Linked DNA regions of Mus musculus: regions 1, 2, 3, 5 and 6 are each reported to be linked to region 4. The links are microRNA targets in miRTarBase. Many come from high-throughput screens and were not tested one by one. Region 4 holds a microRNA gene; each other region holds the end of a gene's coding sequence.

Region 1 (4,936 bases), not on the chromosome of region 4:
TTACTACTGTCTGTAACCCCAGTTTGAGGGGACCTGACACCCCCTTCTGGTTTCCATGGGTAATTACACTCATGTGTACATACCTCCCCAACCCACCCCCATTCAACACAAAAATAAAAATCTTAAAAGTGGGGAAGGGGCATGGCTGGAGAGCGCGCTCGGCAGGTAAGGTGCTGAGTGTGCCCCAGTGCTCTTGTACAAAGCTGAGCATGGCAGTATCCAGCCTGGGGAAGCAGAGAAAAAAGCACCCTGGGACTGATGGTCTGCTAGCCCAGCCTAACCAGCGAGCCCTGGAACAGTAAGAGGCCTGCACCTGCACACATGTGAGCACGTTATGTGTGCACCCCCAAACTACTGTCATTTGTCCTAAAGAAGAAAGGGACTAGGAAATGGTGATTCAGAATCCACCAGGCAAGAAGTAAGGAGGCAACCATTAGATCTTAACAGTTCAATCAATCAAAGAAAAACTTGAGGGCTGTGGAGTCACCTCAGAAGTTAAAAGTGCACTGGCTGCTCTTGTGGAGGACTGGAGTTTGGTTCCTAGGACCCACGTGGTGGTTCATAACTGTCCCTAAGTCCAGTTCTGAGGGACCTGATGTTCTCTCCTGACCACTGCAGGCACCAGGCACACTCACAATACAGAAGCACAGATTTGGGGACATGCAGACACATAAAACCACCCAAAATCTTTAAAAAGGAAATGGAAACCGTGAAGACATCCTCTTCCCAGAGGCCTCTGGGGCTGTCTGGAGTCTCACCTGAGTGTCCAGCCATTCTCCCCAACCAGGTGTATGTAATTCTGCCCTAACTGTACATCTCGGGGTCTTTGGTGGGGAGGATGAAGGGAGATGGTCCCATCTACACAGCCATGGCAAAAGTCAGCATCCCAGCCCAGCCACACGGCACACATGTGGTGCACACACGTGTAGGCAGACACTCACACACGGCAAAATATAAATGAATAAAGATGTTTTAAAAGACATTAGGCATGGGGAGGCATTTATTTCTCATCCTCCTGGGCTGCACGTACACACAGCATTGATATATACAGCTTGGACAAGTACAATTTATACATTAAATACAGCTCAAGTGTGGATTTTGAATTAACACAGCCAACTTTCTGTACAGTTTGTTTCCTGGTCGGTAACAGCATTACAGTAACACTACTCAGGGTTTCACTGATTCTAATTAGTCAGACTGCAGGGTCAGCTCAAAGGCACTAAGAAGAACTATGGGTTCTAGTATTTTAAGAAAAAGGAAGACAGAGAACAATTATGTATGTTAAGAAGGGGTGGAGGCAAAGCTCAGTGTGGTGGCTGGTGCATAAGTATGATCCCAGCAACTGTTAGATGGAGGTAGGAGGATAAGGAGCTTAAAGGCCAACCTGGGCTACACAGAGGGTTTGTGGCCAGCCTGGACTACATTGGACTCTATTTCAAAATGGAAGAGGGGAGAGAGGAGAAACTGGGCAGACACAGGTGTGTGTAAATGTAAACTCTGCCCATTCCTTAATTCACAGCTCTATAAGGAAAAAAGGTGTTCCTTGTGTTAAGAGTTCAAAGAGAAAAGGGGGATGGGCCACATAAACTTAAAATGGAAATAAAATCGCTGAAACTATAATTATCACTTTAAAACATGTTGCAGATGAAGTAACACTTCCCCCTCTCCTTCCAAACTAACCCTGATGTTCTGGCTGCCAAAAACATAAATTTGAAAATCACCTTTTCCAGAATATAAATGAGACAGCTTACCAGAGGATTCTGGGGGCAAACAGCAGCTGCAGAGCCTTCCTTTAAGCCAAGACTTAAGATCACAGTGGACACTGAGTGGAGAGAGCCTAACTGTCAGGGTATGTAAATGCAAAGCCAGCCATAACACACTATACAGTTCAAATAAATAAATACTACCTTTTAAATCAAAGAAAAAGGGCTATGTATCAATAGCCTATTTATAGATCTGTTCCACTCATGTAAATCTGTACATTTATTTTAAACATTAAGTTTGTCCTACATCTCTATCCATTCATGGAATTAACACTGAAAATGATTCCATTTGCAGATGAAGACAGAGTCCATGAGAAGCAGCCACAGCATGGCTGTGGCAGAAGTGGGCTTCCTACCTTCTTCAACAGACCTCCCCACCTGGTGAGAATCGAATTTGGTTTTTCAGAAAATGAACAATGTCCACCTGATTAGAGTTTTAACATCAATGCTTTAATAAACATATGGCTTGGTATGATAACATGCATCTGCATTCTCAGCACCTGGGAGGCTGAGGCAGAAGGATTACGACGAGTCCCAGGCCAGCCTGGGCTAACACAGAGACCCTGTCTCAAAAAAACAAGCAAGCAAATAAAATTACTAAGTCAAGATGCTTAGAGAAGCTTCTAAATTGTTAGTTTTATGGAGTTACTTGTGTTACTGATTTAACTAGATTTAATTTCTCTCATGTTTTAGCTTAATTCACAGCAGATATTCCTTCTAGGCCAACTGAACTGCTAAATGATAGAAACATGGACTTTTAAAATGAAGGCATATAGATTCTTCTAATTACTAACATGTAAATTTACATCATTGCGAAATTTGACGTCACCAAGATGCTCAGCTCACATGAGCCTTTGCAAGACACACACACACACACACACACAGAGCTCATTGAGTCACAGCAGGCCACACTCACAATAGAAGATGCTGCCGCACGCCATGCTAACACCAGCAGCCTGCACATCCAGGATACTCAGGGCTCTAATTCAGGAGAGCCTAAAACTGTCCGGCCATGTTTTCCACCTCTCGCCAGGGATGCCCCTCTGATCAGTCATCCGCAGCCACACAGAGCAATGTAGCTGTAAGTCAGTATTTATCCAAACTTGTTAAAATCATAGCAATTTAATTTATCCTCACGTGGGAAGTCTCAAAACTTTTGGAATCAATAGCTCAGAGTTGATTGTATAACTTCAAACTTGGGTTTAGGAAGCACATGACCTTCAAAAAATTATATACGTAAACAACAAAACCAAAACTTCTCTATTACAAGTTACCCTACTATACAGTGAGTATTAACGTTTTTATGTAGAGGAATTCCATCTAACTGGATTAATCAATGCAAGAAATCCAGAAGAGTATTTTTATATATAAAATTTATATATACAATAAAGAAAATTAAAAGGTTTTTTTTTTTTTACTTTGTTTCATTTTCTGAAAAATGAGACTGGTCTCATTTTTTATTTTTTTTTTTTATTTTTTTTTTTTTATTTTTTTTTTTTTCTTTTTTCTTTTTTCCGGAGCTGAGGACCGAACCCAGGGCCTTGGGCTTGCTAGGCAAGCACTTTACCACTGAGCTAAATCCCCAACCCCTGGTCTCATTTTTTATAGTTATTTCCATCAAACTTAAAATTCAGACAAGGAAGTGTTTGTAAGCTGTATGTCCAGGGAATGTTTTAGAATGTGTGTGTGAGCAAGGGTAAGTGGCTAATGCTGGCTTCAGGAGAAGTGGGGAGCCAACTTAGTAACAACAATGGCTGAATGTGGAGTCAGAGCTACAGAAGTGGAGGGTGCACAGGCGAGCACACAAACTGCATCTTCAGAATGTAAGCCTGCAGAGCTGTCAGATTTTATAGTTTTCCACAGGAGATCAATCAAGGTAGTCATTGCACACTTAGATGCAGTCAGGATGAGTGTAAAGTTGGACTGCATTTAGACAGGTCAGGCAGGTACAGAATCAAGTCACTGCTTAGATGGGCAGCCCAGACTGGCACAGGACACAGGACACAGGACACAGGACAAGGTGATCTGCTATATGTTGTGTGCAAACAAGACAGACTTGGTTCTAGTCTGAGATTCTGCTTGTCTAGAGCCACGGTAGTTGAATACATAGCTAAGAAACGCACATTCACGTACAACAACGGAACCCTTACTTCCTGCAGAGCAGTGTGACAGACACAGTGCGCCATGCCCAACGACCATGAGCTGCGGCGCACTTACATGTTACAGACACTTAAAGAGTCTAAAAGATATTAGGAAAATTGCTATTTCCAGTCTCTCTCCATGCTTTACAGCTTCCATTATGTGAACCATACAGTTGTCCTCGTGTCTTAATTAAGGAGTTCTCTCCAGGCATGGGACAGCACTCTTTTTATTATTTTAACTTTAATTCTGTACATTTACTGAAGTAAAGAATCAATTACGGTCTCAGGCTTTGCAGAACGCTTTCTGTTAAGAGAAGAAAAAAGTGCAAGGTGAGTGATTTTTCCCAAGAGACTGAACTGGCAGCAGTTCTGTGGCGTGGGTCCACGAATGGACCAACACTGCCCATGATTGACCATGGCAAAGTTTGACTGCTACCCATTTTTTCAGAGTAGGTCACCGAGAGCAAGCACGAGAACACGCACGGCATTCTAGAGTGGTGAGGCGCTGAGCTGAGCGGGGCAGACAAGGTGCAGTAGTCAGGAGGCAGCTAAACTTATCAGGGTGCCCCTTGGTCATCTCCTCCAAGGATGCTAATGGTACAGGCAGCCTCAGAGAAGCAGGAAAAGAAGTCACATTTCCCAGATGCAGAGCCTACAAGAGTATCTATCTCATGGGCCTTCTTTGTTGCTGTCCAGCACAATCAACTGCCTGCCTCTCGTGAAGCACTGCATGTTTCTCATTTCTTAGGAAAACTATAGGTTTGTTTTTCTCCAGGCCTGTTACAGAGTTGAGTTTGCATCGTATGTTGGCCCACAAGAATTTTCTTTACCTTAAGTTAAACAAGAGGCATATATTTTACAGCAGTGCATTACAAAAACTATATCAAAACAGCTTGCCAAATTATTTAAGATCTATACAGTTTTAGAAATGTAGCTGAGTACCCTGGATCCTCTTTTCAAAGACAATAGTCCCGCAATAATGGGGCCTCTGTCCCCAAACTAACAAGAGACAGAACCACCCTCCCAGCTTGC
Region 2 (4,936 bases), not on the chromosome of region 4:
TCACTGCTGAGGCAGATCCCAGGAGCTCATTGGCCAATCAGTCTAGCTGAATCAGTGAGTTCCAGGTTCAGAAACATCCGTTCAAGTGGATAGAAGAGTGACAGAGGATACCCCATATCACCTTCAGGACTCTACACTAACACATGAATATACACATACACAGATGGTGATGATGATGATGGTGGTGGTGGTGGTGGTGGTGGGTTGGTTGCAATCCTGAGGCTCGGGGTACACAAGACTCCCCAAATTACTGTGATTTCATTGAATAAATGGAGGCCATCATCTTTGACTTCAGAATCTAAGATCCCTTCAGATTCCCTCCTGTGTGTTTTCCAAGATGAAGGGTGATGATGGCCAGCAAGTCTTCTTGGGTGTTATCTCAGTAGACAGCACCCCCAAGCAAGGCACAGGGTTGGGGCAGTCTGTGAGAGTCACCACTACTGATCCTGCAGCGGCCCTCTCCTTCATGTCTCTAGGACCGTCGTGGGGGCAGCCTGGACATAAACGATGGACACTGCGGCCTTGGAAGTGAGGTGAACGCCACGCTGATGCACCGGAGACACACCGACCCCGTACAACTCCAGGCAGCAGGGGTGAGTGAGCAGAGAGGGCGAGGAGGTCTCACCAGAGAGGGCTCAGCCTGGCTCATCCAGGCTGCTATTTTCAGACTATTGGGCTTTCACGCTCTTCTCCATCTCCTGGCAGCAGGGGATGCGTGAGGTTTATCCTTGCGATCCAGTACACGTGGCCTTGGGACCTACCCAGTGGTAGGGCACTTACATAACATATATGAGGTCCTAGCTTCCATCCCCTGTACCACAGTAGCAGAACAAGACCATATCAAGAGCAAAGGTAGTACGGCCCAGTAGCTTGGTGCCCAGGGCTGTGCATATCAGGTCTGCTTTAGATTGCTGCAAAGTCAGCCTTTGGGAAGGGCTCGGAGGACTCAGAATAGATCTAGAAGCTCACGGCTCCTCTGTGTGATAGTCGTACCAAAGACCAGCCTACCGAGCTCATTCCCATCTCTTGTCTCTCCTACAGCGGGTGCGTTGGGCCAGGGCACTGTATGACTTTGAGGCTCTGGAAGAGGACGAGCTGGGATTCCGAAGCGGAGAAGTGGTTGAAGTCCTGGACAGCTCCAACCCATCTTGGTGGACCGGCCGTCTGCACAACAAACTGGGTCTCTTCCCTGCCAACTATGTGGCCCCCATGATGCGATGAGTCGTACTGCAAGGCTTAGGGGCTTTTCGTCCAAAGCCGCCTGCAAGACAGAGAGGGGCGAGGGGGTAAAGCTGAACTTTATAATGACACATACATGCATACATGTGCATGTGTGCCCGAGTACACAAAACATGTATATGTATGCCGATGGCTACACACGACATTTTATAATAGTAATTTATTGGCAGGCAGGTTGGCTCGTTGATCAGCATGAGAAGGAACTTGGGTGGCGAGGGGGCCGTTTTGCCAGCTCTTCTCTGCCTGAGAGGGCAGTGGGGAGCTGGGAGCAGGGCGGGGAAATGACCTTTTCCAACCCTCAAACTTTCACCGTTTCCTTCCTGGCTTGGGAATTTTCCAAGAGAGCAGGCAGCTCAGCAGAGATCACACCCCAGGGATGGATGAACAGGGCAAGGCTGGGCTTGGCGAGGCACGTTAGGTAGTTCACCTGGCTCTGTCCACTTACAGGGTAGCTCCCCTCTTTTGCATAGAGCAGGCGCTGCGCCCTGAGAATTAAGGTGTAGCAGATGCAGGGCTTCAGGCACCAGGCAAGTCTGAGCAGGTCGCCAGCAAGGGTGTGGTCGGGAGGCTCCTCTTGGTGTGGGAGAGACACGCAGGCTCAGGCCTAGCCGATGTCTGGCTAGGACTTTTACTTTCCACCAGAGACTGTCCCTTGGGCAATCCTCTTCCCCTACGGCTGACAGGAGAGTTAGAACGGAGCGATGCCACAGAGGTTCTCCACAGGCCCTTGTGGCTTACTTGAATGTAACTTGTTTCCTCGGCTGCAGAGAAAGCTGCAGCCTAGATTCTTGGAAGTGCTTGGAGAAGCCCTGGCGGAGAATGTGGGATGTGTCAGCAGCCTCACTCTGTGGTTACAAGAGTGTCTCTGTGGAGCTCAATTGGGTTTTGCTCCTGATTTTCTGTGGTTGAGGACATCTTTGCCAGTGGACGAAAGGGAAGCCAAGAGTGCTGACTGTGGATCGACTGATAAATTGACAGACTGACTCTAACCCTGACAGGAGCTTTCACGGAAATGGGTTTCCTCTTCTGTTTGAGCGCTAGGCCTTCCCCTATCCTCCCTCCACCTGGGAAGAGGAAGCCCACTGCCACTGTCCCTCTGTCACCTTAAACTAGAATTGTGTGTCCTGGGGAATGGAGCACAGAGAAGCCTGGCTGGGTGGGGAGGGGGACTCTGGAGAGGAAGCCCAGTGCTTTTGGGCAGCCTGGGAGTAAAGATGTCAGAACAGAAGGTACTTACAAGGGTGTTGGTGTAGTCGTGTGTGTGTGTGTGTGTGTGTGTGTGTGTGTGTGTGTGTGTGTGTTCTAAGATAGGAAAGGAAGAGCTGGGTGAAAGGGGTGGTAAGCATATGTGATGGGAGGGGGGCTGTCTCCTTGTCCCCTCCTGCTTTAGGGAGGGACTGGAGGGCATCTGTTAGTGAGGGAGACAAAAGAACAGTCTGTGACTCAGGAGTCACTGCAGTGTGGCACATACTCTGTCCCTTGTGACTCTGATTCAACAATCTTCTGATCCCTAGGTTCCCTTTAGAGAGAAAGAGAGGGACCAGGAGGGAAGAGATCATAGCCTGGAGGCTCAGGGATGCAGCTGCAGCCCTGGGACAGGAAAGCAGAGACAGTGTCAGAAGATGGGTGGCAGGTGGGAGACAGGGAGACTGTGGGGGGTGGGGGTGGGGTAGTATCAATTGGGGCAGCAAGGGGAGACATGGGCAGGTGGTACAGAAAGAACTCTTACCCCTCCCCCGGAGAAGGTAGGAGCCCCCCCCCTAACACCCCCCCCCCAGCAGGTGAGGAAAGAGTGCATCAGGAGGAGGTGAAGGGCAGAGAAGGCGCCAAGGAGGAAAAATGAGGCCGGAAGCTGAGGCAAAGTGGGCCCAAGCTTGGTAGTAGGTGATGTGAGACATTACAGTAAATAAAAGCCAAAAGTGGTGTTTGGTTTTACAGTATTTGCAAACCATATGCTTTCCAACAGCCCACAAACTTCATCCATTTGGCTGATTCTGTGGGAGGAGCAGCCCTGGCTGAGGCAGAGATGACTAGCCTGGTTCTGGTCTAGTTACTATGCCTTGAAATACTCTATGAGAATACAGTAATAAAGTTTTGCCAGCCTGTATCTGGTGCTCATGCTGCACAGCCCTAGGAGAAGGGGGTACTCCTCACCTTGGGGCAGCAAAACCCCTAGAACAGGCATCCTGTTCTAGCAGGAGCCCTGGTGGGAGAAGGTAGGAGGAATTCTTTATTGAGGTATCCTCATTAGCAGGGTTCGATTCGAAAGGGAACAGGAGAGTCACCCCAAACCATGAAGGGAGACCAAGGACTCCCAGGGGCTGAGCCTAGGAGGCCAGCACCAAACTGTCTACCTGGGGCTCAGATCTCTTTGGATTCTGCTACTGCTTCCTGGGAAGTAGGTAAGGAAGAGAGCATGAGCCATCATACCCCCCAACTCTCTCTCTCTCTCTCTCTGGCTGCACAGCCAACTGCAAGTACACGGTCTCTGATTTTGGCCGACACACCATAGGTGCGACTTCATGACATCTGAGCAGAGAACTTCTAAGAAGAGCCAGTTCCTGTTGACCAATCAGAGTTTCCTCCCCACTTGCTGAAAAATCACTTCATTTCGAATATCCAGCAGCTACCATGGCCCACTCCCCATTACATGGTCTCAGTCTTTCCAAGATCTCAAGTATGTGAGCATTGTCTGGGGGCCGTGTTAAAATGCTGGCTCTGACTCAGCCTTATATCTATCTCTAACAAGCTCCCAGGTGCTTTGATCAGCAAGGGCATCGGTCTCACAAATCTAATTGGATTCTTTTTCTGGGGATAGTCAGCCACTGCTCTCTGTTGCTAGCGAATAAGTCACTTTGGCTTTGGGACAGGCACAACTCGTTACTGTCTTTATGACACCATTCCTGTTTGGCGGCCAGTGACTTCTTTTTTACATCTTCATCGGGGATCAGAAATTTTCCAAGTGACAGGCATTTGGCTGGAGACTCACACAGGAATTCCCTACTAGAAATCACTTTAACAGGAGCAGAAGCTGTGGAAGGTGCAGGAAGACTTCTCAGGAAATCCTGAAAGAGAAAAATCAATGTCCATCACTTTGGGCTCTGGGCAAGGCAGGGAATATCACTAGATCTCAGCTCACAGCCCACACAAGGGACAGACCGTCCTGGTCAAAATAATTGCATGACACAATTGTTTTGTCTAGTTTCAATGTGACTATCTGTAAGACAAGAGTGTGAAAAAAATCTACCACTGCAATTCTTTAAAACAAATTTATTTTTGTTATTGTTTTTCAAGTCCTTCCACTTCATCTCCCAGCCGGCGGCATCTTTCTGTCTCCCATAGCAACTGCACTATCTTCTGTACTTGTTGCCCTGCATTCCTTCCTGTGCCTGGTACACTCTCCACTCAGACACCAAGGCAATCTTTGGACAGACAAACCCAATCACACCACTTTTCTTCACAGGCATTTATCCTTGAACCTAAAATCCCAGCCCGGTCTTGCAAGGTCTGGCCCCTTCGGGATCATCTCTCCAACTTCCTCTTGCTTTCATACCCCTTCCCCACTGTCCTTCCTTCAGCCTCCAGATGGCTAAGAACCTTCCGAAGGGGGAGTCATAACTGTGGGTCCCCCCAGGATGCACATCCTGTGCTTTCCAGCTGACTGCTGTTCAGATCTGGGTTCACACGTCACTTCCTC
Region 3 (4,936 bases), not on the chromosome of region 4:
GCAAATTGGAAATAAAAAATATGTGAAAATTGTTCTTACCTTTTTCCTTTTGGAATGGAACCAGGACTTCCCACATGATAAAAATATTTTGTACCTATGATGGTTTGTATATGGTTGGCCCGTGGAGTGGCACTGTTGTAGGTGTGGCCTTGTTGGAGTAGATGTAGGCTTGTGGGTGTGGACTTTAATGCACTTGACCTAGATGCCTGGGAGTCAGTCTTCCACTAGCCTCCTTTAGACGAAGATGCAGAACTCTCAGCTCCACCTGCACCATGCCTCCCTGGATGCTGCCATGCTCTTGCCTTAATGATAATGGACTGAATCTCTGAAGCTGTAAGATAGCCCGAAATTGGATGGTGTTCTTATAAGAGTTGCCTTGCCGGGCAGTGGTTGCACATGCCCTTAATCCCAGCACTTGGGAGGCAGAGGCAGGCGGATTTCTGAGTTCAAGGCCAGCATGGTCTACAGAGTGAGTTCCAGGACAGCCAAAGCTATACAGAAAAACCCTGCCTTGAAAAACAAACAAATAAAAAAAAAAAAGAGTTGCCTTGGTCATAGTATCTGTTCACAGCAGTAAAATCCTAAGATTGTACAATTGAGTTACATACATGGCCCTGGTATACTGTCAAGTTTTTATTATTATTATTATTATTATTATTATTATTATTATTATTATTAATTTGCTTTTTGTTTGTTTTATTGTTGTTACCATTGTCGTCACTGTTGTTTAAGATAAAATATTTAAGCTGTTCTGGAATTCCCTATATAGACCAGGCTAGCCTTGAACTCAAAGAGCTCCTACTGCCTCTGCCTCTTGGCTGGGACTAAAGGTATATGCCACCACACATGGCTTATTTTACCTTGAGACATGATCTCATTATGAAGCCATGGGAAGTCTGGAATTTGCTATGTATTTCAGGCTGCCCTCGAACTCACAAAGATCTGCCTGCCTACCTCTAAATCTGTGTGCTGGATTAAAGATATGCACCACCACAAAAGGCCCTTTGTGATTTATTTTATGTGTACAGGTGTTTTGCCTACCTGTGTGTCTTGGTACCATGTGTATCCTTGGTATCAGTTGGATCCCCTGATACTAGAGATACAGATGGTTGTGAGCCATTACATGGATCCTGAGAATCAAACCCAGGTCCTCTTCAATAAAAGAGCAGTCCAGTGCTCTTAACCACTGAGCCATTTCTTCAGCACACACACCCACCCCCAACTTGGTTTACTCTTAAAGTCATTTGTTGCTGAGTATATCACTCCATGGTAGATCATTTACCTAGACTATGTGAAGCTCAAATTCAATCCCCAGTAGCATTTAAAAATATATATGTATATATAAATAACATATATATATTATATACATAGGGAGAGAGACAGAGAGAGAGACAGAGAGAATATATGTATTGCCAGGCATGGTGATGCATACCTTTAGTAATTACAGCACTCAGAAGACAGAAGCAAGAGGATCTCTTTGAATTCTAGCCTGCCAGAGCTACTCAGAGACTGTGTGTGTGTTTCTGTGTATGTGTGCACTAAAATTATATTAAAAACTTAATTTATTTAATGATCCTGGGAATCTAACCCAGAACTTTGTCTTTGTTATTCAAATATTCAATCACTGAACTATATCACCAGCTAAAATAACTTTTTTGTTTGTTTGTTTTGGTTTTTGGTGGTTTTTTTTTTTTTTTTTTTTTTTTGGTTTTTTTTCGAGACAGGGTTTCTCTGTATAGCCCTGGCTGTCCTGAAACTTACTTTGTAGACCAGGCCGGCCTTGAACTCAGAAATCTGCCTGCCTCTGCCTCCCGAGTGCTGGGATTAAAGGCGTGCGCCACCATACCCAGCTTAATATAACTTTTAAAAAATCATTTATTGTAGCCAGAGAGATGATTCAGTGGTTAAAAGCACTTGCTGTTCTTCTAGAAGACAGAGGTTTTGTTTCTAGCAGCCACATGTCAACTAACAACCATCTCTAACTCCATCTAGTTCCAAGGAATCTCTTGGCCTCTTCTGGCTTCCTTGAGCACTGCATACACATGGAACACTCACTTATATGCAGGGAAAACAAAACACTTTTACACAAGAATAAAATCTTTACAAAATATTTTTAAAAGATCATTCACCATAAATCCTGCCCAGGCCAGTGGCGGGGGTGGGGGGTGGGTTGTCAATGGATGAGAGCACTTGTGCAAACCTGATAGCCTGAGTGTGATCCCTGGAGCCCACATGAAGGTAGGAGAGACTCTGCTCTACTAGTAAGGTTTCTTCTGACCTCTTCCAGCAAAATAACAATAATAATAATAATAATAGTTATTATTATTATTATACATTTTAACATGATAATAAAAAATAAGCTAACCTCATTTCTTGTTCTTTTATTTTTTTCCCTCATATATGTGCAAGTGCATGCCTGTTCAAACCTGTGCATGTGCATGCAGAGGCCAGAGGCTAATGTTGGTGTCTTCACTCATCTTCTCCCCCTTATACATTAAGGCAAGGTGTCTCAACTGTACTTAGAGCTTTGCCCATATGGTTAGTTTAGCTAGCCAGCTTGCTACTAGGATTTCCTAGAGGACAGAAACACACACACTACTGATCTATATAGGTTATAGAGATGGGAAATTTTCATGTTTGTGTAGCAAGCCCTCTAACTACTGAGTTGTCTCCCAAGGTCCTGAATCCTAGTCTTTATTTAAAAAAAAAAATACAAAAACAACAACTCTGACTTTATTTTTTCTTTAGGCTTCCATGCTGGTTAGATTTAACTGTCAACTTGACAGAATCTAGAGTCCCCTGTGAGATGAACCTCTCGGGGGATGACTATGGGGATCATCTTGATTGTACTGATTGATATAGAAATACCCAACTTAATTATGCCTTGATTTCCCTACCATGAGGGGCTGTACCTGTAGCTGTGAGCTAAAACTAAGTGCTTTCTCCCTTACATTACTTTTTTAAATTAGATATTTGCTTTATTTACATTTCAAATGTTATTCCCTTTCCTAGTTTCCTCTCCAAAAATCCCCTATCCCCTTCCCGCCTACCCCTGCTCCCCAACCCACCCACTCCTGCTTCCTGGTCTTGGCATTCCCCTATACCGGGGCATAGAACCTTCACATGACCAAGGGCCTCTCCTCCCATTGATGACCCACTAGGCCATCCTCTGCTACATATGCAGCTGGAGCCATGAGTCCCACCACGTGTTTTCTTTGAGTGGTGGTTTAGTCCCAGGGCTAAGTTACTTTTTTTAAAAAAAAACTGTATTTTATGTGTATGAGTATCTTGCCTGCACTTATGTATTGCACCATATGTGAGCAGCGTCTATGGGAGCCTAAAGAGGCACTGGATCCCCTGAAGCTGGAGTTGGAGACCGTTACAAGCTGTGAAGAGCACTAGGAATTAAACCCCAGTCCTTTTCTCGAGTAGCCAGTGCTCTTCACCCCTGAGCCATCTCTGTCCCTCCACTTCAGGTCCTTTATCATAGCAATAAGAGAAGAGAAGAAAAGAAGCTTCATACAGTCCCCACAGAACAAGCCAAGCATTTTAGACTTTGTGCCCCCACAGAATCACTCGCTTGGAACAGCTTAGAAACATAACTGATGCGTCCATATTAGCCAGCAAGGGCTCCTTTTATTCATTCAGGGGTGGGTTTTTGAAATGCAGTGCAACTTTATAAGATTATAAGTCAAGAGTGCCAGTAAAGCAAGCCAGCTAGGTGCAGAGTAACGCAAGAAGCTTGCTGGAACCTTCTAGTCCAACGGGCGCCCTTGACACCAGCGCTAAAGCTGCTGTGCAAAAGGTGTCAAACAGATCTCAAAATGAGACAGAGGTGCCTACTCCATCCAAAGCTCAAATCTGTCCATCTGTGCTTGTCATATACAACAATGTGCAAAACAAAACCCTTGAAAATATGTTCACACGGGATCACAGAGCAGGCTCTGCTGGCTGTGGCTACGGGCCTGAGAAGCATCATAGCTGTGCATGAAAAGTCAGGCAGCCTCCATCTTTCCAAATGCCAGCTGCATTGCCATCTGACTCTGGTCTGTCTACTACCTCTGAGCCCTGCCAGCCAGGCCTTCACACAGGGGTCTCCTCTGCCACCTTTTTTAAGAGTCCAGTAGCCAGCAAGGAGTGATGTGGATCCTCGGAGCCATCTGCTTCCCGAATCTTCAGGCGGACTTTCTGATTTGTCTTCCTCCATTCCGAGTACAGCTGGCAATGGTATCGGAAAGAGACCTGCGGGGGCAGTCCTGCAGTGGGTGGGGAGGTAGAGACAGGCCTCCACCCTGGGGAGGAAAGGGAGCCCTGGCATTTGTCATGGGCCAAACCTAGAAGCAGTGCCACCTCTGGGCATTTCCTGAATACTATGCATACACTCACCCATTCGGTCCTCTGAGGATACTCTGATACGCTCCGAGTCCTGTAAACATGAGGGATCTACCACCTTGATCCCAGGAGGGAGCATGACTCTAACAGTTGATGAGAATGGAGCCTTAACAGTCTCTTGGGATTATTTAACCCCAACCAATCACAAAATTGCCCAACCTGGAAGCAACCAAGGTGTCTCTTCTTAGGTAAGAGGATAAAAATGATGGTGCATTTACTGGACTGGGAAGATGGCTCAATGGGTAAGAGAACTTGCTTGAGGGCATAAGTTCAAATCCCCAGCATCCATGTAAAAAGCTGAGCAAGACCCTGTACCATACCTGTAACCCCAAAACTGGGGACGAGAGGGAGGTAGAGATAAGAGAATTGCTAGGATTAGATGGCTGGTAGCACTCACATGTGTACACACACATATACCTACATATATACCCTCCTACACACAAAAACAAACACACACACACACACACACACACACACACACACCTGTGATGATTTGTATATGCTCAGCCCAGGGAGTGGCACTATCAGAAGGTGTGGACCTGTT
Region 4 (4,936 bases):
CAGTAAGTGCTCCCAACCGCTGGGGGCCTCTCCTAATTCCGTGTCCGGATCTATGGAATACAAGTCCGCGGCAAGCTGGAGGGTGGCTTGGCAAGAGCACACACCCCAGCCACAGCCTAGGTTAAACAAGGATGCGGCCAACCACGCCCCCTACATACAATAATCCCCCTTGGTTCAGGCACGTGTCCCGGCAGAGGCCACGCCCACACGCCGAGGGCGCAGGCGCGCCTGCGTCACTGTCCAGCCGGCTAGATCTGGTTCCGCCCCAGTCCCGACTCGCTGCTGTGAAGCGTCCTGGGTCTCGGCAGTTCGCGCCAACAACTCCCCGCTGCCTACGAGCGAGGTCAGTGCGTGGCCAGGCGCGGGCGGCGCCAGGTGACCCCGAGGCATCGGTGGTGGCCTCGCTCTGTAGCCACGCGAGGTCGTCCAGGTGTCCCTTCGCACCGCTGCCTGCCTTCCCACCCCTGAGCCCATAGCCTGGGCCCCGCTCATAGTCTTATTAGACTTTGAGTCTTAGGCTTTGAGACCGCTTGCCAGGTTAACATGCCAGGTTAACTTGCCAGGTTAACATGGACACCCAGGAGGACCCTCCTGGGTGTCCGCGGTGTGTGCAGAGCCCTGACCCAAAAAACTGCTTGTGAACAGTGGGAGGGGCATAACAACAAACTTTATGGCACTTAATGAAGTCCCTGTGTAATGTTGATTTCATTCTTGCCTGCTCCACTAGCCTGGGTTTTTGTGTTTTGTTTTGTTTTTTTCCACCTCCCAAGAGGCAGACTTTGTTGCAGGCCTTCTCAATTGCTCCCAGGTCAGCCTTCCTGCAGGAACTCCTTAAAGTCTGTGGGGAAGGTGGTATAGTTAGGGTCTGGAGGTGAGAACTTGGCAGGCTGTGCTCACAGGCTGACACTCGCAGGAGAAATAGGATCGCAGGCTGCTCAGCTAATGTGGAAGCCTGGTGGCTGATAGTCTTTGACAGTACATAATTGTTTGTTTGGTTTTTTTTTTTTCCCTGGGAGACCCCATTTTCTGCCCAGTTGTAGCTGCTTGCACCCGCACCTTGGATGACTCCCACACTTTGCTTAGTGGGCTTTTCAAGCTTTAGAAATCCGCTCTGCATTATAATAGCAAGATCAGCACAAAAAGTAGGAACTATAGAGGATCCTGCGAGTGTTGTTTGTGCCCCAGTGTTTGTTCTGGTCATCTCTGCCCTCGTTGGCTCAGAGCTGTCTTCACATTTCTGCTGTTTTAAAAAAAGGGGGGTGGGGAGTTTTGGATTGCTAGGGAGTCACTTACCCAGGTGAGCAGAGACATCTGACCTTGCTTGCAGGGTGGTTGCTGGGCCCGTTGTAGCAGGAGAAATGGCCTTTCCTTGGCCACAGCAAGAAAGCTTCCATGACCTTAATGTCACTTGGGGGTCCACTAGGCAGTTTGGGATGTGTGAACACAGCTGCTCTACCAGAGGAAGCCAAAATCAAAAGCATTTTGATTACCGGCACACTCAAATAGAATTGGGAGTGGGGCACGTGGAAACCAGGCTAGAACAAGCATCCCTGGGTGGTGGGCATGCCGGGAAGCTCTAGAGAAGGGGATGTGGGTACCTGGCCCTGGCTAGAAAGAAGGCCTCCAGCTAGGGCGAAGGAGGCAGACTGCAGCTGAAATGAGACTGAGTCTCGCTCGGCTCAGGGACGCAGCGCAGGCTCTGCACAGTACACAGGTTCTTGTGTCAGCAGGCTTTTCCTGGCCTGGGAATGCTCAGTTATAGATGCAAGCCCCTCCCTCTCCTTCACTTCAGGGTCTCCTACTGCAGGGGTCTGATTAGAGACCTCCCCATCTCCCCCGCTGCAGGGCCCTCTTCCCTGCCTGTTGGCTGCTTTCTGCCATTTCTGAGTAGACCTAGGTGGGAGCTTGTTGTGTGTGTCGCCCTCACGCCCGTGATTCAGGTGGCAGGGGCTGACTCTGTCCTTGCTCTTGGACCAGGAGCTTCACTGATGGCCGAGTTGGGCTTCCCACTTAAACTTGTGCCAGAGCTGCTGGGACCAGTTCCTGTGATCTGCAGGCAAAGGGACGGAAGTTTTATCTTCTGGAGCCAGCCCCTCAGCCTAGTCAAGGAAATCTGCACCCTGTTCAAGCTCCTGGGGTCTGTCTGCTCCTGTGTTGGAACTGGGGACATGTGAGATAGCAGTGGGAGAGGTTAGACCTAGAAAACCCATGGGACCTTCATAACCTTGTTGGTGGGGCCAGTCAGCCTGAGTCAGGTGAGCTGAGGCCAGAGAGCCAAGAAAACCGATGTATAGTCGGGGACTCACAGCCTAGAGGCCTTGTGGTCTGTGCTGGAGTCTGTGAGAAAGTTAATTCTCTGGGCAGCCTGAGGTCAAGACTTAGGCTTTAGCCTGTGTTTAACCCCCAAGTAAGTGACACAGGGTGTTTCTGCCGTGACTGCAGAAGGACCTGTGGCCTGGACAGAGCCTGGGCTTGGTGGCGGTGACAACATCACCTCTGGGGATTCGTGTGTCCTGTGGCAGCTGGTGATGGCCCAGTCTCCTGTTTCTCAGGGATACATCAGATCTGCTGCTCACTTCCGCCATTCAGGTCACTGAGGAGGCAGGGTGCCGCATCTGTCATCTTTGTCTTTTTCAAGCATGGGGCTTAAGTGACATTTTGTGCATTTGAAAAGTCATATCTAGAAGGGGATCCCTAGGTGGGTGTGACCCTTGCCTTGGCACCAAGGTGGTGAGAGCACAGCTGTGCAGAGCTGGACGGGGTGGCCACTATCCCTGTCCTCCAGGAGCTCACGTATGCCTGCCTGTGAGCGCCTCGGCGACAGAGCCGGTGTCCACCCCTGCACTGTCCACAGACCCTTGCCTGCAGACCAGGGTGCTCAGTCGCTGGCTGTTCATGCTGTACCTTCTTGAACTCGATTGTGCAGATCTGCAGGTTGTTCCGTGGATGGAGGGGACTCTGGTTTCTCTGTGCGGTGACGCAAGGCACTGACCCCTCTGGGGTCCTAATCATCTTAACCTACGCAGACACTGAGGGGGAGGGGAGAGGAGCCAGGAGGGAGCCTTCCAGGTCTCTCCCTCTGTGTGTGTCCTCTGTAGCACCAGTTGATTCTACTGCGTGTGACCTATGTCCTGGCAGTTGGTGTCCCTGGGTCACTTCTACATCCACTGTGTTTCAGTAATTACCTCCAAATAAAAAGCTTCCTTTAAAACAAACTCTCTCCCCTCTCTTCATTATGTTGTTGTGCTTTTGCTTTGTCTTCTGGAAATCTTGCTACCGAGTGAGTGCATAGCCGGGCAGCAGTCTGCTGAGGTCTGTGAACCGGAATGGGCTCTCAAGGTCGAACACCTCTGTGGGACCCTGGACTCGGGCTGGCTCCAACTGAATGGAGGAGGGCTGATTCTGGGCTGGGGAATGAGAACAGAGTCCACTGGCCTTGGCACCCAGCTCGTCAGCCTCAGCAGGCTTCGTGGTCTCCCCCCACAAACATCGCTGTCACTTGTAGGCCATTCCCAATGTCTGGGGAACAGGTATAGGGGTGGTAGGGACCAGAGACCATGCCCCAGCCTTGGAGGCACCACCTGGGTATGTGATAGACAGGCCAGGTGCTGGGCTCCATCGACCATCTGCTGTGCCCTTGGGACTCTGTCCTGTGTGAAGCGGGTCAAATGACTGGATTCCCTGCCACTCAGCTGCGCCCCCAGTACAGCTGCTCTGGTCACATGATGGGGTGGGGACAACAGAGGGTCCTTCTACCCTCACCTGTGTTCATCCTTACACCTGACTCAGTCATTCCAAGAAAGAAGGTCCTACAGAGCTGTGTGTCTGGCACTGGCTACCAGGGCCTCTACTGCCAAGGTCTACAACTAACCTTTGAGGGGTTTTTGTTTATGTTTGAGACAGACTTGCTAAGCTCAAGCTAGCCTTGGACTTTCAATCCTCAGGACATATTCACCAACCTCCTCCACAATTCCAAGAACGTTTGAACAAGATGTTTTTGAGCCCAGTGGATGCTCAAAAACGCTGGGCATTGACTGCCTCCCCAGGACAGCACAAATCCCTATTAAGAGAATATCCCCAGTCATACTGCCCCAGCACAGGTGATGCCCTGGCCAGGGCCAGCAGCTCCTTCTAGCTGTGTGGAGAAGGAGAACATCTCTCTGCCCTGTGAACTTCATTGGGGAAGGACAGTGGGCCCTTGCCCTTCCTCCTACACAGAAGGCCTCTTTTACCCCCATGGGACCCAAGGGAGGGGCAGTGGTGGGGTGCTTGAAGCTGCGGTTTGCTGCAGCACCCACCTTTGTGTGCCTCCTCAGCGCCTGAGGCTTCAAAAACAGTAAGGTTCAACCAGGGCTTCCTGATTAAACCTGGGGAACAAACAAGAGAAGCAGGCCCACGCAGTTGCCCTGGTTCAAGGTTGGTCCTGGGTTTACACACAGCCTGGTGAGGGCAAGGGAGAAAGTGCCGCCTGGAGTCTTTGAGCTGGCAGAAAACACCCACTCACCAGGATGCCCCTGCTTACAGATGGTAGAGTTAAGCCTCCTCACCAGCAACAGGCACAAGCAGGCCAGACTCCCCTTACCAGTGTGGCTCAGAATGCCTGGCCAGGACTCTTCTCAACATCCAGAACTCAGGGAGCCTGAGGCAAGATTGCCCCTAAGGGGACGCTAGCTAGCCTGGGCTTTATAATTCCAGGTCAGCTTACCAGCTAACCTACACACACACACACACACACAGGCTGTGCCCTGTCATGGACACCAGGCAGTCTTGAATTTAGCTACCAAGGCTGTTGGGAGATGGTCCAGTTTTCTTCTCAATCTCCAGAGTCACCCAGCAAGCCTTGCCTGTTAGCATGGGACAGAGGCTGCCTGCTCCGCCAGCCCTGGATCAGTGCAAACCATGAGTGGTGATGGAGATGTGGGTGGAGGAACCCTCA
Region 5 (4,936 bases), not on the chromosome of region 4:
ATGGAGACTACACTCACACAGCTGTCCCTGCACATCGCTACAGTCCTCATTAGCTTACGAAAGTCAGGCAGAGGCACGTCCTCCATGTAGGAGGAAACTGTCTGTGTAGCCCTGTACTCTAAGGGTCCAGGCATCCATGGAGAATCTTGGGATTCATCCCCACAGATGATGGGGCACTGAAAACTGCAGAATGGGGACCTGTACCCAATAGGTGAGGGGAAACTACTACATAGATAGCCTGGGCCACCGTGTAAGTCTCACTGCTGCAAAGTGTGTGTTGTGTTAGGCTAGGATGTGGGTCCCATTCCCAGCATCAAAACTAAGAAAGGGTGGCCAGGAAGCGGGGCCTTAGTTTCTTCAAGTGTGGCACTCATGTGCCCTCTGCCCTGCAGAGTACAGTGGCCGCCCGCAGCCCTACCCCTTTGAGCGCATGGTCTTCGGGGCCTGTGCTGGCCTTATCGGGCAATCGGCCTCCTACCCTCTGGACGTGGTGCGGCGGCGCATGCAGACAGCAGGTGTCACGGGCCACCAGCACGGCTCCATCCTGAGCACACTACGCTCCATTGTACGTGAGGAGGGCGCGGTGCGGGGCCTCTACAAGGGCCTGAGCATGAACTGGCTGAAGGGCCCAATTGCCGTGGGGATCAGCTTCACCACTTTCGACCTCATGCAGATCCTGCTGCGCCGGCTGCAGAGCTAGGCTAACACAACAGTGGATGGTGAGCTGTTCGAGCAGGGGCATGCAGCTGTGTGCTCGCAGCCCTGTGGTACCTTGAGGGTGGGCAGGAGGACGGGACCTGACTTGGGGCTGTAGGGCCCATAGCGAAGTGCTGGTCCTCAGGGTGTGACATTGTGATGATGGATCTTGGCTGTCCCCTCCCTTCAGTTCCTTGCTATTGGCTGGTGAGTCTCCTGAGGTGTTACCCAAAGGCCCCTAATGGGTCAATTGCACTTCCTGGCCCTGTGTCCTCTGACCTGCTGCTGATCTAGTGCCCATTGGCACCCGGGGCTCAGAGCCCATCCCTTCTTGCTATGACCGTGCCTGGCCTGCAGATGTGATAGCAATTCCTTTTAAGCCACACACTGGAGGGTCACAGTTTGCTCAGTGGTGGCTATACCTGTGTTCCTCAATCCTCCACCATGCCTGCCTATCCTCTCCCAGGTGACAAATGGCTGCTCTTGCCCACATAGCTTTCTCCCCAGAGCACTGTGCCCATCCTATTTCCGAGGGCTGCACCTGACCATTGCCAACTACCTGGCTTGTACCTTTCCAGGAGGCCCTATGGCCACCAGACAGGGGTGTCAAGTTCAGACCCCACTGGAAATGCCCATGTGGGTATCACTGATCTGGGGTGTCTTCCAAAGTACACCAATCAGGCCGAATGCAGGCCCAAAGCTTCTTATATGCACAGCATCCATGGAGGTAGGGCTCAAGCTCTTGAAACTGCCTTCTGTGGCTGTCATCTAGCCAGGCCACATGAAGCCCAAAGATGGGTGGGTGGCTTTTCCTGTGTGAATGAGTACAGATGTATCCATGACCTGGGGAGCAGGGAAAGGCTGGGGTATCCAGGGACCACCAGCCAGCTGACACAAGGAGAACCCCCCCACACACTGGGTTCCCTAGGTGTCACAGGAAACTCTTGCCTTTCCTGGTGTCTGGGGTTCTTGATTTAGGGTCTTTGAGACAGTCCTAGCCAGAAGCCCTGGCTGTCCTGCTTCTGAGTGTTATCTGGGCTAGCCTTCAACTTAGAGCAGCCCTCCTGCCTTTACTCTCTTTTCTTTTCTTTTTTTTTCTTTCTCTCCCTTCCTTCCTCTCTCTCTCTCTCTCTCTCTCTCTCTCTCTCTCTCTCTCTCTCTCTCTCTCTCTCTCTCTCTCTGTCTCTCTCTCTCTCTCTGTCTCTGTCTCTCTCTCTGTCTCTGTCTCTCTCTCTCTGTCTCTCTCTCTCTCTCTCATTTTATTTTCCCGAGACAGGGTTTCTGTATAGCCCTGGCTGTCCTGGAACTCACTCTGTAGACCAGGCTGGCCTCAAACTCAGAAATCTACCTGCCTCTGCCTCCCAAGTGCTGGGATTAAAGGCGTGCGCCACCACTGCCCCACCTACCTTTAGTTTCTAGTTTTCAACTTATCCTGCCCCAGGTCTGCACATAAAACCCCTACCCTTCCTATGCAATGTGGCTCTGGCTCAGAGGTGATCTGGGTGTTGATTCCCACAGCTGGATGGCAGCCATCTCACATGCAGGACCTGAGCAGGGTGGCTCGAGCCCTGGGCATTTGCAATTCTTGCTGCAGTCTTTGTTCATTCTATATTTCTTACCTTGTGCCTGTGACGCTTGGCCATCTCTCAGCCTCCGCGGATAGTGATGGGCCATCCCCACCATGTCCCCAGACACCCCCCCCCCCCGGCAGCCTCTGGTGGCTGAGAGGGACTGTCCTCTCGTGAGTGTACTGCCACTCCCTTCCCCACCTGGGATGGAGAGTCTAGGCATCCCTTACCAGGAGGCCGGAGGTGACTGAGGCTCCTGGGTCACCTCAGCAGGTTGCACCATGTAGATGGTTGGCTTGAGCCCTGCATCAGGCAACCAGCAGGGCAGGAGAAGTGAGGGTGTCCTGGGTCCCTGATCTTCTTGCTTCCCCATATCCCCCCAGTAGCTCTGTGGCTGCCCTCCCCCATGGTCACTGTCCAGTAGCTCTGTGGCTGCCCTCCTCCGTGGTCACTGTCCAGTCTGGAGTTCTATTTTGATGCCATAAAGACACTTTGTTTATATATAATGTTTATATATTTTGAAGATTTGTGCCAACAGAGTATATTTAATAAAATTTTAAATATCTCCTGCTTCTTACTTCTTCAACTCTGGCTCCACCTCCCACTCTATGAACGGGGTCAAGCTACTTAGCACTTTTGTTTTTAATTTTTCTAGATAAGGTTTCTCGGTGTAGCCCTGGCTGTCCTGGAACTTGCTCTGTAGACCAGGCTAGCCTCTCTGCTCTGCCTCCCGGGTGCTGGGGTTAGAGGTGTACAGCACCACTGCATGGCCACTATTTGCTACTTTAAAAAGGCATTTTGTGTATGGGTGCTTTGCATAACTGTGCAGGCCTAGTGCCGGAGGAGGCCAGCAGATCCTTAGTCTAGACTTACAGATGATCACATGGGGTGCTCGCACAACTGGATCATCAGCAGGAGCAGCCGGTGCTCTTCACTCTGAGCCATCTCTCCAGCCCCCCCCCCCATCCTTGTGAAAGAGAGCTGAGGATTGCAGGTGTGTTGTCCAAGTGCTCTGTGCAACTTTCTGTTCATAGATGTAAATGTGACACAGGCTACTGGGGATGAAATTGATGGCCAAAGATGGAACATTAGACTGGGGCAGTAGAGTCCCAGCCTAGAATCCCCCAGTGAGGGGCTGGGGGCGTGGCTCAAGGGTGGAGCACTTACTATACAAAAGACCCTGGGGTTTTTTTGCCAGTACAAAAAAGATAAGGATCCAGGAATACAGTAACCATGTAGCTAAATCTGCCAACAACATGGCTCGGATTTATTTAATATCTGAGAAATATAATCCATGCTGGCTTCTAGTTCTTGCATAGCACTGGCTGGCCCAACTACCTCTGGAGTCATCAGCTATACTCCATCATGCTCAGCAAATGGGCATCGGCCAGAAGCCTAAGGACCTTGCTCTGAAACACAGCTCAGGCCCAGTCAGCCCTGAGCCATGTAGCTGAAGGAGGTGGGGCCCTGTACGTCGTGTGCCCCTACACTCTGAAATCCACAGCAGAGCATGGGCATCCCTGATTCCCATGAGACTTCCACAAGGTCCTGCAGCCCTTGTCAGGGTCAGTTTGGGAGGCAGGGACTCCAGATAGCCCTTCAAGGACATCCTGTTGATTCATAACACACACGTCAGCCATATTTGCTGCAGTCATGAAGACCTGAGTTCAAGTCCCCAGAGCCCACATAAAGTGGGACAGCAGCACTAGTCTATAATCCTAGCACTCCTACAAGCAAGGTGGGAAGCAGAAACCAGAGACTCCCTGGAGCCTGTTGGACAGCTGACCTGAGGGACTCAGGTAAACAAGAGACCCTGTCTCATAGTAGAAGGCTAGGATCTACATGCTAAGTTGTCCTCTGATCCCTGCTCTCACACATGGACCTATTGTATCATACACAGCACCTGTGTTCACAGCACCTGTGTTCACAGCACATAGGCAGTCACACTCCTAAGTCCTCTTGGACAGAGACCCAGAGGCTCAAGGCTCTGACTGAGCACTGGCTCTTGAACATGACTGGGCCAGACCACACTGGCACCATGGTAAGGCAGCATTGCAGAAGCCCTCCTTTTTTATTCTCAATACACATTTTACATATGTAGGAAGGTCACACATATCTCATAAATACACACGTAAACACACTAAGTCATAGCAAAAAAATAACTTTGGAGTTGGAGGTGACCCTTAGTCACCAAGACCTCAAAACACAGCAGTCATCCTCACAGCTTTGGAGGATGGTGACAACCTCTTCCCTCTCTTCCCTTTCAAGCTTCCCCCGGCCCCCTTTTTCTTCTTGTTTTACATAGTCTTGTTACTAGTCTAGGCTAACCCTCTTACCTCAGCTTCCCCAAGTGTGCTGGGGAGACAGGCATGGAGACTACTGTCTCTCCCTCCTGGGGATACTGACAGATGCCGGGGCTATATGGATGCTGGGCCAGAGTCCCACCCCTAGCTCTCCTAGCCACCTCTGATCTTGAGGTTTCCACTCTCTCCCAGGCCCCTCTCACTATCCAGGTCTCCCCTGCTCATCCCCCAGTCTCTGGGATATTTCTGTAAAACGTGCCCCCTCCACACACACACACTTGGGGATCATGGCCCAGGGGAGATTGCTTCAAGGGGTTTATGATCTAGGCACTGAAGTGAGAGAGATGGTAGGGAGTCCCCACACCAACC
Region 6 (4,936 bases), not on the chromosome of region 4:
TCTCCTCTACCTTTGGTTCACACCCATGAGCCTTTGCTCTGACCTTCCCTTCAGCTGGAGCTAGGTGTCTGGTTAGCAGACACTACCCAGCCCGTTCTATCACAGGGAAATGATAATAGTAGTAAACACAGAAACTCCTCTGTCTCTGAGCCTCATCCTTATTTAACAAGTAAGCAAACTGAGGCCCACTGAGTCTCAACAGCCTGTCAGGGTTTCAGAAGTGGACACTTGAAACATTGGGCTTTTCAATGTAAGGAGGGAGGTTTGCTGTTTTGTTTTGAAACAAATGTTTCTATGTTGCCCTGCTGCCTTCAAACCTCTTGATTCAGTCTCTCGAGCATCTGGGACTATATATAAGGGCTTGTTTTGTGTGAGGGCATGAGAAGTGTGTGTGTGTGTGTGTGTGTGTGTGTGTGTGTGTGTGTGTGTGTGTGTGTGTGTTATTTAATTGTTCCTGTATGTTATTTATATTCTTGTTGCATAGTATATTTGACAGTATAAAGCCCAAAGCTAGCAGAGGTCATACCCTTGGGTGCCTAGACACATGGCCCTTAGCATCCTTGAATGTAAGAGGACTGGATGATAGTGGAGTGAAGGCAGCAAGCGTGAAGACCCCTGTGCCCGGAAGAACCCTGTCTTCCTAGCACTGGCTATGAGGTGGGAGCTTCTACCTCAGGTCATAGAGCTAGTGAGGGTAGAGCAAGGACTCAGATCCAGGCTGGTGGCTTCCTGTGCTTTTAAGTGTCCCACGCTCCTTATTATATGGGATGGCTGGAATCTCTCTAAGACCTACTCCTTCCACTACAAGGTCAGTGCAGAGGTGGGTGTGGAGTCAAAGCCGCTGGCCACAGCCTCCTCACATAAAGGGCATCAGCATGAGGAGGCTGTTCCTACTTCCCAGCCTGCAAGTCTCCATCTGAAGGTGAGTAAGACCACCCAGAGCAGAGTGTAGCCAGTGTCCCCTAGCAAAGCCCAGAGAGAGGGAGAGGGCAGGCCAAACAAGGAGTAAGGGACTCTTCTCAAAGCTGGACCACCAAGCTGAGATCCAAACCCTCTCCAAAGTCTGCGAGGGGCCTGCCGTGGGACTAGCTGCCCCTGCCTCATGCCTATGCCCCTTTGCAACAGCACACTCAACTGGAGAGGGAGCAGGATGAAGAGAGAGGTCTGGAAAAGTCATCTGGGAGGCCACGGAACACCAACAGATCCAAATCTCATTGTCTAGATGGGAAAACAAGGCCCAAAGCCAGGTGGGGCCCACAGCCAGTGTGTACTGGGTCAGGAAGAATAATGGGAAAGGAATGTATAATGAACAAAGCTGAAAGCCCAAGGCCCCATAGGTGCTGTGACTCCCACCCCACCCATACTGGCTGCTTCCTTCCTTCCTGCACCGAAACCTGGCTTTCTCCTCCAGAGATGCCCTAACCTCTCTTCCACACTTGTCCTCTACAATCCCCTGGGCCTGGCCTCAGGCTCCCCGGCCTAACTTCTCTGACCTCATCCCCTCCTGCCCTTCACCATCTTTGCACTGCAGCCCAGTGACTCCTCCAGCCTCCCAGTCATGGGCTATGCACTGGCTTCACCTTCAGCCTGCCAGGCTCTTCCCTCAGGATCCACATGGCTCACTGTGTCATCCCTGCATCTTCCCACTGCCTTAGCATCATGTCTCACACACCATGAATTGTACAGGAATATAAACTACAGGAGGCCGAGGATGTCCTTGTGTCTCTAGCCCTTTTAAGCTCAGTGGTGTCTGCCCTGGTGTAGACTTTCAGCCAGTATCAACTGAGAATAGAGACAACTGATCTGTGGATGGGGTCAAGGCTCTTGTGACCTGACACTGAGACCAGAAACTGCAAGGAGCCAATCAGGCCTGGGATCCCAGCAGGAGGGTTAACAGTTAGAGGCTAGCCTTGGATACAGAAAGAGACCGAATCTCAAAACAACAAACAAAAAACTTATTTCCAGTGTGATGGCTCAGCAGGTTAGGACACCTACATGGATAGGGGGAAAGAATCAATAAACTCAGGCTATCGTGTGGCTCTCAATTCTAGTAAAGGACACTTGCTAGACACCACATTGCTCTGTCTGCACTTCTGAAAATTGATCTCTGACCTGACTGGCAAGAATATCTGTGATCTTTTCGCTGATCCTAGAACCCTTGGGGCAATGCCTCTCCCTCTTGCTTAGCTCATTCCCCACCCAGCAACACACACACATACACACACAAACACACACGAATGTACACGTGCACACATGTGCACACAAGCACACATAGGCATACATGCACACACAGACACACACGTACATACACACGTGCAGGCACTGCAGCCCCCAGATGCAAAGGCCCAGCCTCTTGCATCATGCATTCCCAGGGCCTGCACACAGTAAGGGCTCAGCAGCTGGAGACAGTAACAGAAGGACAGAGGGATGCTGTCTTCTGAATCCAGACTGACGCCACCAACAGCTGGTCCTCCGAACCTTCCCTCCAGCTCAGGAGGCTTTTTCCTGTCCCTTACCCTGTTTGAAAGATTTGCCTGCTTGCTTCCTCCTTCCCACCTCTGGAATCAGTTCCTCCTAGTGACTGGAAGGAAGAAATTAGAAGCCAACCCTTAAAAGCTTTCACCCCATACCAAGCAATACAAAAAAATGATTCTGGAAATGGGTTTCAAGCACTTTTCAGCCAAGTATGGTGGTGCAGGCCTTTAATCCCAGCACTCATAAGGCAGAGGTGGATGTATCTATGTGAGTTTCAGGCTAGCCTGACCTACATAGCAGAGTTCCAGGTCAGCCAGAGTAATGGTGAGAGCCTGTCAAAAGAGGAAAAAAAAGCAGAAGGGGAAAAAAGGAAGAAAAGGAAAAGGAGAAATATACACATATGTACACACACACACATACTTATCACAGATGGAAGACACACAGTACATATGTGGTATTAAAATTTTTAATTAAGAAAAAATTTGGGCCGGGCAGTGGTGGCGCACGCCTTTAATCCCAGCACTTGGGAGGCAGAGGCAGGCGGATTTCTGAGTTCGAGGCCAGCCTAGTCTACAAAGTGAGTTCCAGGACAGCCAGGGCTACACCGAGAAACCCTGTCTTGAAAAACCAAAAAAAGAAAAAAAAAAAGAAAGGAAGGAAGGAAGGAAGGAAGGAAGGAAGGAAGGAAGGAAAGAAAGAAGAAAGAAAGAAAGAAAGAAAGAAAGAAAGAAAGAAAGAAAGAAAGAAAGAAAGAAAGAGAGAAAGAAAGAGAAAAGACAAGAAAAGAAAAAACTGGGGAGCTGGGATTTAAGTTAGTTATGGATATTACCTAGCATACACAAGGCCTTGGGTTTGATCCCAGCACCACATATAAACTGGGAATGGTGGTGCGCACCTGTAATCCCAGAACTCAGGAGGTGGAGGCCAGACAATCCAGAGTTCATGGCTAAACTTAGTTATATAAGAGTTCCAGTCAAGGCTAGCCTGGGCTACATAATTTTAAGAAAAACAGGGGTGGAGAACTACAAGGCCACTGAGGAAGTCATTAACAAAAAAAAAAAAAAAAAGTTGAGGAATTCTGATGTAAACTCTTAGCCTTACCTTCTCTGGCTCAAAACTAGAGGAAGGGAGAAGCCAGGAGATCCTGTACTCCTATCCAGAAAACCGTCAAAGACCCCCAAATCTGATCTCCCATCAGCTACCTCCGGTCTTTTTCTCACTGTTCCCCCAACACACATACTGATGCACGAAAGCCCTTTATATCACTCACCCTGAGCCCCCAAAGTAGACATTCCCCCTTGACACCCCACCTCCTAGAACTGGAAAGAGCTGGAGTCTTCTGACCCTATGCTCTAGTCCTCAGAAAAGAGCCCAGAATCACCCTGGAATATGCCAAGCAGGGTAGTAAATGCCTGTATCCCCAGCACTCAGGAGAAAGAGGCAAGAAGATCACAAGTTCAAGGCCAGCCTGCTCTCCACGACAAGTACCAGGCTGGAATAACTCAGAAGCTCCCAGAAAAACCTAGGAGGGAGTTCAGCTGCAGGAGATCCCAAGGAGTGGGGGACCGCTGATAGGTGGTGTGCTTTATTGCAGTACGGTTGTGGTCAAAGAGAAGCTCTACTTAGAAGTGCTCTAGAGGCACAGAGCCACTTATGTTTGCAGAAGCTGCATTCTTGTATGATGCAGTTACCTTCTGGTCTCTTGCTGTAAAATTCTCCAGTCTCTGAGGATCCTGTGGTATGCTGGGGTGAATTAAACCCAGGTATACAATACCACCTAGGTAGGCGCCCAGAAGTGGTGCCACCACCGGCACCCACCACCAGTTGTTTCCGGCTCTGCAGACAAAAAGAAGGAGGCCTGCTGAGGTTACCGATGCCCGGGATACCTCTTGTATCCAGCTCAGACCAACAGAGGGAGACCATTTACCCTAAGGGACTCTTGTCCTTAGCCTGATCGGGGACACAGTTGACGGTCCAATATCAGGATCTGCAACTGAAGATCTTTGGGGCCCCTCCTCCTCCCAGACCACGTGGAGACTTCATAAGACTTCTGTGCACCCCAACAGTTCACTCCTCTGCAGACGGGGACCCCAAAAAGCTGACGGGAGTGGGGTCCGGCAGGGGTTGTACCTGAACACTTGTTTGCCCCAGCCAGCAATGAAAGTGAACAACCGGGGAGGCAGGTCACGGGATGGGTTGATTGCATATCCGGAGTTCATGCCTAGCGACACCCCAAGGACGGTAACAAGGATGCCTATCACGAGGGGCTCGGTCCCTTGAAGTGCTGGACTGTTCTTCTTGTCGGTGATGGCGAAGAGACACAGCTGCAGCATCCCAGTCACGAATGCCTGGGGAGTAAATGCCAGAGCAGCCCACTGGGGACAAGTCCCAGTCACTCAGCAGGACCCCAGATCTGCAGTGGCAGAGATGTGTCTTGGTACGATCCCATGCAGAATTCTTC

The links. The annotated mature microRNA mmu-miR-339-5p reads UCCCUGUCCUCCAGGAGCUCACG and lies in region 4 at 2,772-2,794, shown strand. An mRNA with a match to its seed (bases 2 to 7 or 8) in the 3' UTR can be bound and repressed. Matches are read on the target gene's strand: a 7mer-m8 pairs with bases 2 to 8, a 7mer-A1 pairs with bases 2 to 7 and ends in A, and an 8mer does both.
Region 1: miRTarBase lists Kif3a as a target of mmu-miR-339-5p. Seed matches in the 3' UTR shown: 7mer-m8 at 2,325-2,331.
Region 2: the mRNA of Grap2 is a reported target of mmu-miR-339-5p. Seed matches in the 3' UTR shown: 8mer at 2,879-2,886.
Region 3: miRTarBase lists Marchf2 as a target of mmu-miR-339-5p. The part of its 3' UTR that is shown has no 7-base or 8-base seed match.
Region 5: the mRNA of Slc25a42 is a reported target of mmu-miR-339-5p. Seed matches in the 3' UTR shown: 7mer-m8 at 1,293-1,299 and 7mer-m8 at 1,968-1,974.
Region 6: the mRNA of Aqp7 is a reported target of mmu-miR-339-5p. Seed matches in the 3' UTR shown: 7mer-m8 at 3,088-3,094.

What each region holds. Positions count from the first base shown.
Region 1 is chr11:53,600,283-53,605,218 of GRCm38, reverse strand. It overlaps Kif3a (kinesin family member 3A), which reads right to left. Exons shown (of 18, transcript NM_008443.4): 18 at 973-4,208. The coding sequence ends at 4,160. Among named protein-coding and RNA genes, the nearest start is that of Il4, 16 kb to the left of the region's middle.
Region 2 is chr15:80,647,382-80,652,317 of GRCm38, forward strand. Grap2 (GRB2-related adaptor protein 2) reads left to right here. Exons shown (of 8, transcript NM_001289442.1): 7 at 477-593; 8 at 1,042-4,936. The coding sequence ends at 1,221. Among named protein-coding and RNA genes, the nearest start is that of Mir6957, 3.8 kb to the left of the region's middle.
Region 3 is chr17:33,687,912-33,692,847 of GRCm38, forward strand. It overlaps Marchf2 (membrane associated ring-CH-type finger 2), which reads right to left. Exons shown (of 5, transcript NM_001252480.1): 5 at 3,594-4,242. The coding sequence ends at 4,084. Among named protein-coding and RNA genes, the nearest start is that of Hnrnpm, 4.9 kb to the left of the region's middle.
Region 4 is chr5:139,367,566-139,372,501 of GRCm38, reverse strand. Mir339 (microRNA 339) reads left to right here and starts at 2,757; the gene lies at 2,757-2,852. All of the region lies in intron 2 of 3110082I17Rik (RIKEN cDNA 3110082I17 gene), which reads left to right.
Region 5 is chr8:70,182,233-70,187,168 of GRCm38, reverse strand. Slc25a42 (solute carrier family 25, member 42) reads left to right here. Exons shown (of 8, transcript NM_001007570.2): 8 at 393-2,829. The coding sequence ends at 700. Tmem161a (transmembrane protein 161A) reads right to left here. Exons shown (of 12, transcript NM_145597.4): 12 at 3,488-4,936. Among named protein-coding and RNA genes, the nearest start is that of Tmem161a, 12 kb to the right of the region's middle.
Region 6 is chr4:41,030,149-41,035,084 of GRCm38, forward strand. Aqp7 (aquaporin 7) reads right to left here. Exons shown (of 8, transcript NM_007473.4): 7 at 4,606-4,823; 8 at 2,926-4,311. The coding sequence ends at 4,098. Among named protein-coding and RNA genes, the nearest start is that of Aqp7, 16 kb to the right of the region's middle.